2 linked regions of the Danio rerio genome follow. The protein of the gene in region 1 interacts with the protein of each later gene in a pairwise test. Links are inferred from orthologs where the notes say so. Each region holds a gene or a part of one and is shown on either strand. Other genes may lie near its edges. The genes, in order: sec23b and prrc1.

Evidence for each region.
Region 2: the proteins of sec23b (region 1) and prrc1 interact in binary tests that used the Homo sapiens proteins (3 or more experiments, as listed by UniProt). The two-hybrid records come from large-scale screens. The link is inferred for Danio rerio from reciprocal best matches to the Homo sapiens genes SEC23B and PRRC1.

What each region holds. Positions count from the first base shown.
Region 1 is NC_133181.1:7,710,182-7,714,803, forward strand, and holds the start of sec23b (protein transport protein Sec23B), read left to right. Parts: upstream 1-1,764; 5' UTR 1,765-1,853; coding exon of another isoform or gene 1,854-2,084; 5' UTR 2,085-2,512; coding exon 2,513-2,516; intron 2,517-4,622. Other genes in the region: ccdc85al (coiled-coil domain containing 85A, like), read right to left, coding at 1,854-2,084. UniProt on the Homo sapiens protein: Component of the coat protein complex II (COPII) which promotes the formation of transport vesicles from the endoplasmic reticulum (ER).
Region 2 is NC_133185.1:18,457,209-18,461,039, forward strand, and holds part of prrc1 (protein PRRC1), read left to right. Parts: intron 1-1,095; coding exon 1,096-1,238; intron 1,239-1,316; coding exon 1,317-1,419; intron 1,420-2,906; coding exon 2,907-3,070; intron 3,071-3,482; coding exon 3,483-3,586; intron 3,587-3,831. UniProt on the Homo sapiens protein: May act as a regulator of the protein kinase A (PKA) activity during embryonic development.

The sequences.
Region 1 (4,622 bases):
GTCTTTAAGGCCACACACAAGACATGGGCCAGATGTCACATGTAGTATTTGGTCCAGATTTTAAAAATGTATATGTGGGCCACGTGGAGTTTGCATGTTCTCCCCGTGCTGGCGTGGGTTTCCTCTGGGTGCTCCGGTTTCCCTAAGTCCAAAAGCATGTGGTTTAGGTGAATTGGGTTAGCTAGATTGTCTAGTGTATGTGTTTGAATGAGTGTGTATGGATGTTTTCCAGTGATGGGTTGCAGCTGGAAGGGCATCCGCTGCGTAAAACATATGCTGGATAAGTTGGCGGTTTATTATGCTGTGGCGACCCCAGATTAATAAAGGCACTGAGCCGAAAAGAAAATGAATGAATGAATGAACAAATGAACGAATGAATGAATGAAGGAAGGAAGGAAGGAAGGAAGGAAGGAAGGAAGGAACGAACTAAAGAATGAATGAATGAATGAATGAATGAATGAATGAATGAATGAATGAATGAATGTGGGTCACATAGGTTTAGTCTTTTTCGACCCACATTTTAAATACATTTAAATGATTTGGGTAAAGAAAAAATCTACCAATCAGTTCACTTCCAAAAAAAAAAACATTCAAAACGTGCCCAAAGCGCAATGCTTCCTGGGTTTATGAATTTCATTGCAGTCGTGACACACCAACATACACTGTAAAAAATGCAGGGTTCCACACAATTCATTCGTGTTGTCCTAACACAAATCGATTAAGTTAACTTGACACTTCTAATAAAATTATGTGGATTGAACATAAAAAAAATTAAGTTGTCCCAAATGAAATCTCAAAAATTGTGTTGTTTCAGCTCATTTTAATTAAGTAGTTTAAACTAGTTGTGTATTTGGCCCAGTTCATTAATTTGGCTAAGACTTGACCCAGATATGGTCCATGTTTGGCCCTTGTCTGATAGCCAGAATTGGTCCAGTCATGCACTGTAATTCTGATTGTGTGGGCCAAATCTGGGCCAGAGAAATTTTGCTATGTGATTAAACATTCAGAGCATTGAAATATTTGTAGCAAATGACAACTTATATTGTATGACTGATGTATTGTGAAAGATGTATGGACTATTATTATAAAACTTAAAATATCTTATCTTTTTTCTAAAAACATGTTCTTAAAGGGATAGTTCTCCCAAAAATGTCAATTCTGACATTATTTATTTATTGTTCACTTGTTCACTCAAATGTTTCTACCTCTGAACACAAAAGAAAAATTTTGAAAACCTGTAACCCTTGACTTCTATAGTATTTGTTTTTGCTACTATGGAAGTCATTGGTTAACGGTTTTCAGCTTTCTTCAAAATATATTCTTTTGTGTTCAACAGAATAAAGAAACTCATGATGGTTTGGTATGGATGCATGGTTTGAAACCACTCAAAGATGAGTAAATAGTAAGTAGATTGTAATATTTGGGTGAACTATCCCTTTAAGGTAAATAAATATGTGAAAAATCCAAATTTGCATTTTACAGACAAAAATATCAGCTGGTTTAAAAATACATTTGTGATAATGTCTTCCTAGATCATTTAGAGTAAAAATATTCTGCAACATTCAATATTAAAATTAGAAAAAGGTCACATTCATACACAACAGGTGTCTTAACACTGCAATATATAAAAAAAATAAATAAAAAAAAACGAAAATGTGGTTCTGGTATCAAAACAATGCCACTAATGTGTGTGCTTCTTGCCAAGTTTGGAAGCTTTAAATAAAAAAACAGGCACATAAGACAACAGTAGTAGGCGTTATTCCTACAGGATGAATAATGTGCACCCAAGAGCTTGTGGCGCCTCCTCGGAGAGCGCAGGTGTGCTCCAGACGCCCATGATCTCATCTGCTCACCTTCAGCCCCCGGATCTCGTTCAGATGCAGCTGCAGGCTGCGGTTCACCTCCCGAATCAGATTACTGTGATCCAGAATGACGCTCATTTTATCGGCTTCACACCTCCGGAGCCGCTGCACCAGCTCCTCTTTGCTCCATTGGAGGAGCTCTTCGTCCGTGAGGTTGGCGATGTCTTCTGCTGGACTTTCCGGCGCCTTGGATCCAGGCTGTGCTTGTGGAGAATTCTCCATTAGAAGAGGCGAGCTGCTGCTGCTGCTTCTGCTGCTGTGGTACCAGATCAAATATTAATGAGGCAGGCAGGCAGTGTCAGGAGGAGTCAGGGAGACTGAGGACGCATCGTGTAGAGATGCTCGTATCCGATGCCCTTACAGTGGGAGTCGCCTCGACTTTTCCCAAAGCAGCAACAGCTGATGAGCAGAAGGAAGGCCGGCATATAGAGCGAGTCCGCCCAATTTGTTCAGCACCGGCTCCCGTGCATAGTTCTTGTAAGTTTGGAAAAGTGACGGTGTATGATCGCCGGTGAGATGTGGGTGGGTTTAGGCGGCCCGGTGCGCTCGCCCCCGTCCGCCTCTGCGCGCTCCTGCATCCTCGTGGATATGGAGGAGAGACGGCAGCATCCTCAGCCCGAGCTCCGGAGAAATGAGCGTGACTGCAGCGAATGGGTAAATTCATTCTCTCTCTCTCTCTCTCTCTCTCTCTCTCTCTCTCTCTCTCTCTCTCTCTCTCTCTCTCTCTCTCTCTCTCTATCTCCGTTTGTGTGTGTCGTGCATGTTTGTGTGCGCGAGTGGCCGAGAGGTGATGCTGTTGTTCAAGTTCCATTTAAGTTTGTATCTAGCGCCATCTATTGACTCGTTAACACAGTCTTCTACACCAGAAAAAAATGTCTAAATACTAGGTAGGCTAATATTCATTCATTCATTCATTCATTCATTCATTCATTCATTTTCTTTTCGGCTTAGTCTCTTTATATGCAGTTTAATAAACTATTCTATTTCAAAAACACAACGCTATTTACTACAAATTACTATAGTCATTATTAGAAGTTTAGTAGTATATGATACTAGCCTTCTACAAATGAAAAAAGAGGCTTAAATACTAATATATGCAGTGTAATGAACTTTTCTATGGTTCAAAAACACTATAATAGGCTATTTACTACAAATTACCATAGTCATTTATAGAAGTTTAGAAGTATGTGATACTAGCCCAGGTGTGGGCAAACTTGATCCTGGAGTGCCAGTGCCCTGCATAGTTTAGCTCCAACCCTATTCAAACAGACGTCCATAGAGTCCATAGAATTATCATAGTCATTTTTTGATGTTTAGAACCATAAGATACTAACATTCTACAAATAAAAAAAAACGCTAACTAATATAGGCAGTATAATAAACGTTTTTGGTTCAAAAACACTATAATAATCTATTTACTACCAATTACAATACAAGTTTATTAGAAGCATAGATATAAGCTCTCTACTAATGATTTACTATCATTTACTATTTCTAAAGAAAAAAACATTACTGATATATGCAGTATAATAAACTTTTCTATGGTTTAAAAGCACTATATTTACTACAAATTAGTCAATTTTTAGAAGTTAAGAAGCATGATAGCATTCTACAAATGAAAAAAGATCCTCCTAAATATTGATATATGCAGTATAATAAACTCTTCTATTGGTTAGAACACTATAGCTATTTCCTACAAATTATCATATTAGAAGCATGTGATATTCGCCTTCTGCAAATGAAAAAAAATTTTCTTAAATACTGATATATGCAGTTTAATAAACATTTATATGGTTCAAAAACACTATAGCTTTTTACTACCAATTGCCATTGTCATTTTTCAGAAGCATATGATACTAGTGTTCTACTAATGGGGAAAAAATTCTTAAATGCTAATATATACAGTATAATAAACTTTTCTATTGTTCAAAAACACTATAGTAGCTACTTACTACAAATTGCCATAGTCATTCATAGAAGCATATAACACTAGCCTATTAAACTGCTTAAATACTAATATATTTAATAAACATTTATATGGTTTAAAACACTATAGTAGGCTATTTACTACAAATTACCGTTGTCATTTTAAAAACATATGATACTAGCTATATATCTAGTGTGTGTGTGTGTGTGTGTGTGTGTGTATATATATATATATATATATATATATATATATATATGGTATAATAAACTTTCTATTATATATACAGTATAATAAACTTTTCTATGGTTTAAAAGCAATATATTGACTACAAATTACCATAGTCGTTTTTTAGAAGTTTATATATGATACTAGCCTCCTACAAAAGAAAAAAAATACTAATATATGCAGTATATTAAACTTTTCTGTTGTTCAAAAACACTATACTAGCTATTTACTATTATGATAGCATTCTACAAATGAAAAAAGAGGCTTAAATGCTTATATATGCAGATACACGTTTCTATGATTCTAATAGTAGACTATTTATTTATCATAGTAATTTTTAGATATTTAGAAGCATAAGATACTTACATTCCACAAATAACAACTGCTTAAATACTAATATATGCAGTATAATAAACTTTTCTATGGTTCAAAAACACTATGGTAATTTACTACAAATTACCATAGTCATTTTTTAGAAGTTTAGAAGCCTGATACTAGCCTTCTACAAACGAAAAAAATACTAATATAAGTTCAAAAGCACTATTTACTACAAATTACCATAGTCTTTTAAAGAACCATGTGGGTGTGTGCTAAAATTAAGGAGTTAT
Region 2 (3,831 bases), on another chromosome or scaffold:
AAATCTTCCCTTCATTAAACAGAAATTGGGGAAAAAATAAACAGGGGTGCCAATAATTCAGGGGGGCTAATAATTCTGACTTCAACTGTACATTTGTGAACAAAAAAACATTTTAGTATGATGAAAATTGGCTTTATTTGGGAGGGCTTGCATCCATTTTGCCTCCTGGAATAAGGGGTAGGAAGTTGTAGGAAGTTATGTGACAGAAATTAAATCAATTATTTTTTTTTTCTTAAAATCTTTTATTTGGTTGTTTTCTTGCTTGACATTGAGAAATTAAACATACAACTTGTAGATAATTACTTATAAAAGGAAAAGGGCAACTATGAACTTCGGCAACTATAGTGCCGGTGCGCTTAAATAGGTTAAGTTATTTTTGATGAAATCTGAGACCTTCCTCATCCTTTATAGACTACAACAGACTTTCAGTTATTAAGTGGGAAGAAAGCAGAAATGAGTAAGCTAACCTGCATTATTTTTTAGCTGTTGAGTGAACACGGGATGTAAACTTGTTGATACATAATTGAACATTTTGAGGTTAAACGGATATACTAGATAATCACTAAAGACTGCCACTTCTAAATTATTTTAAAATATTACACTACATAAGGACATGACGGATGATTTCGGGCCCAGATCTAACCCCTTAGCTTCATTATAGGAATTAAATATCATATTATCAATCATTCATTCATTAATTCATTTTCTTGTCAGATTAATCCCTTTATTAATTCGGGGTCACCACAGCGGAATGAACCGCCAACTTATCCAGCAAGTTTTTACACAGCGGATGCCCTTCCGGCCACAACCCATCTCTGGGAAACATCCACTCACACGTTCTCACACACACTCGTACACTACGGACAATTCAGCCTACCCAATTCACCTGTACCGCATGTCTTTGCACTGTGGGGGAAACCGGAGCACCCGGAGGAAACCCAGGCGAACACAGGCAGAACATGCAAACTCCACACAGAAATGGTAACTGAGCCGAGGCTCGAACCAGCGACCTTCTTGCTGTGAGGCGACAGCACTACCTACTGCGCCACTGCTTCTCCCCATATTATCAATGCTGATGAGAAAATGTTTTTACAGGGATTGTTACTAATCCCATGATGCAGCAGCCAGTGTCTGGAGGGTTAGATGTCAGCTCACCCATTACATTTCCTGAGGATGTTGAAGATCCCAGAGTCACTCCGGACAGCAACGCACCTGGTGGATTATGGGGCTTCATCAAGGTAACTGCACACGTGTATACTTAAGGCTAGGTATACGTGTGCTTAACATGTCCTGATCCAGATGTGTTTTAATCACAGGGTGTTGCTGGAAACCCAATGGTCAAGACCGTCTTGGATAAAACCAAACACTCTGTGGAGTCCATGATCACCACGTTGGATCCTGGGATGGCACCTTATATCAGTGAGTAATGATATGTTGGTGTTTAGATTTATATTGTTGATAAAAAGAGAATTTTATTTTATTTTATTTACGAAGATGGTTTAATGACAAATTCAGTTTGATTTTATGTGAATTTTACTTAAGTTTTTATTATATGTGGGCATAGATGTATTTTTTAATCTAGATTAATCGCACTGTAATCTAGGAATTAATCCAGATTAAAATTGTTCATTTGAATTCTGACGAAGGCATTCAGATTATGTGTGCTACCCAAATATTGACTAAAAGTAAGTCTTTGAGAATGGGTTTCTCAAGCCAGGTGGCGCATTAGACCAGGGGCTCATCTCCTGTTTCCAAAATGCATCACAAACTGCTTGAGAGACTGTTCTACTATGATAATTGGTGATGAAAATAAATGATGTTCAATAAGATGTACTTGTGTTTACAAACTGTTTATTCGGTTAAACATCAATTTTGAACTGTAGGTCTACATAAGCTCGAAACCGTTATTTTTGATTACCTAAATCCGACTAAAGTCATAACTGAACCAAACAGAAATGGAACTAAGATGTGGAGTATGCATATATTAGTGGCATTATTGAAGTAAACACCACGATCAAACGATTACCGTCATGTTGGACTTTTAGCCAAATTTTCCGACAAGATCCACACACATGGCTGTCAGTAAAGGACCACACACACACACACACACACACACACACACACACACACACACACACACACACACACACACACACACACACACACACAAAGCAAAATGCGGAAGTTTTTTTTCTTTCCATTCGCCATGTGTTATTAATTTCCATAAGTCTCTCACCAGTCCTTACTCCTTATTTGCGTCTAATACCCCAGTTTGTCACGGGGGCATGAATGAAATGTTCGTGAGTGAAGGTGAAACTGCCAAACTGCAGTTAAAGTCACCCAAAATTACAGGAAACTTTTACATGAAAGCACTTCATGTAAAACCCTTAATTATATTATTGGCTATTAGGGCAAAAGACTACATTACTGATGTCTATGTAAATGTAGTAAGTAGTGTCTTCGAAGTAAGATCCAGAAGGGCATCTTGCTGATTTGATTCAGAAGTGCACTTTTTTTTTGTCAGATGGCTCACTGGTTACGTATACATCCGCGCTAAAATATCAAGGTGAAAGTCATCATACCTTGCATAGAATAGATCCAGCGCTCAACCCAACTTTGAGAATAGATTAACGGCGATATATATTTTTTCAATCGTGCAATAAGAGTCTCACGTTAACGCAGCATGTTAATGCCGATAATGGCTCCCCACTTTTTTTTATTTGATCTCAAAAATCTGTCCACCGCTATATTTGCAAAAAACAAAACAAAACTTAAAGCATTTCATTTCTATGGTTCTTCTGTTCGGAGTATGTTTACATCGCTAAGTTGAGAAATGCTGTAGGAACAGGATGTTGAAAATGCACTTCTTGTTTATATGTCATTATTTAATGGTTTGTGTTTGTAAGAATCTGGAGGAGATGTGGACATTGTTGTGACGTCAGATAAGGAAGTGAAGGTGGCAGCGGTACGGGATGCATTTCAGGAGGTGTTTGGTTTGGCCATGGTGACAGGAGAAGCCGGTCAGTCCAACATTGCCCCACAGCCAGTGGGATATGCTGCAGGGGTCAAGGTAAATATTCTTCTTTTTTAAAGGATAATTCACCCAAATCTTAAAATGTACTCACCCTAAAGTGGTCCCAAACCTTTATAGGTTTCTTTATCCTGTTAAACATGAAAAAAAGTTATTTTGAAGAAAGCCAAAATCCTGTAACCGCTTATCTCCATAGTAGGAAAAAAAATACTATAGAAGTCAATGGTTTCATGTTTCCAGCTTTCTTGGAAATGTCTTCTTTTGCTTTCAGCCAAAGAAAGAAAATCAAACAGGTTTGTGACAAAGTGATAACTGAATTTTCAGTTTTGGGAAGATTCTCCTCTTAAAGTGTCTATCAACGTCTAAATGTTTACAACTGTAGGAAACTTAGTCATGCAACTAATGATATATAAGCACATATATTAATCTGAAGTTTGCATGGGTGTCTTAGGGAGCTCAGGAGCGCATTGACAGTCTTCGCCGTGCTGCTGTTATTCATGAGAAGCAGCCTGTGGTCTCTGTGGAAAACTTCATCGCTGAACTCTTTCCAGACAAGTAAGAAAAGTCAATTTGAGACAAAACTTGAAATGCACAAATGTAAAAACATCACTTTAAACCACGGTTCCCAAACTTTCTTGAACAGACATTCTTAAAGCACCATTAGCTTTAAATCAAGCACTTTTGTAATTCGCACCCAGCATGTGTATTTCCTTAAGGTACTGACTGTTTCACTTACACATTATATTTGTTACAAATGTCATTTTCAAAAATGTTCAAAGAACTTTAATAAAATATGTTAA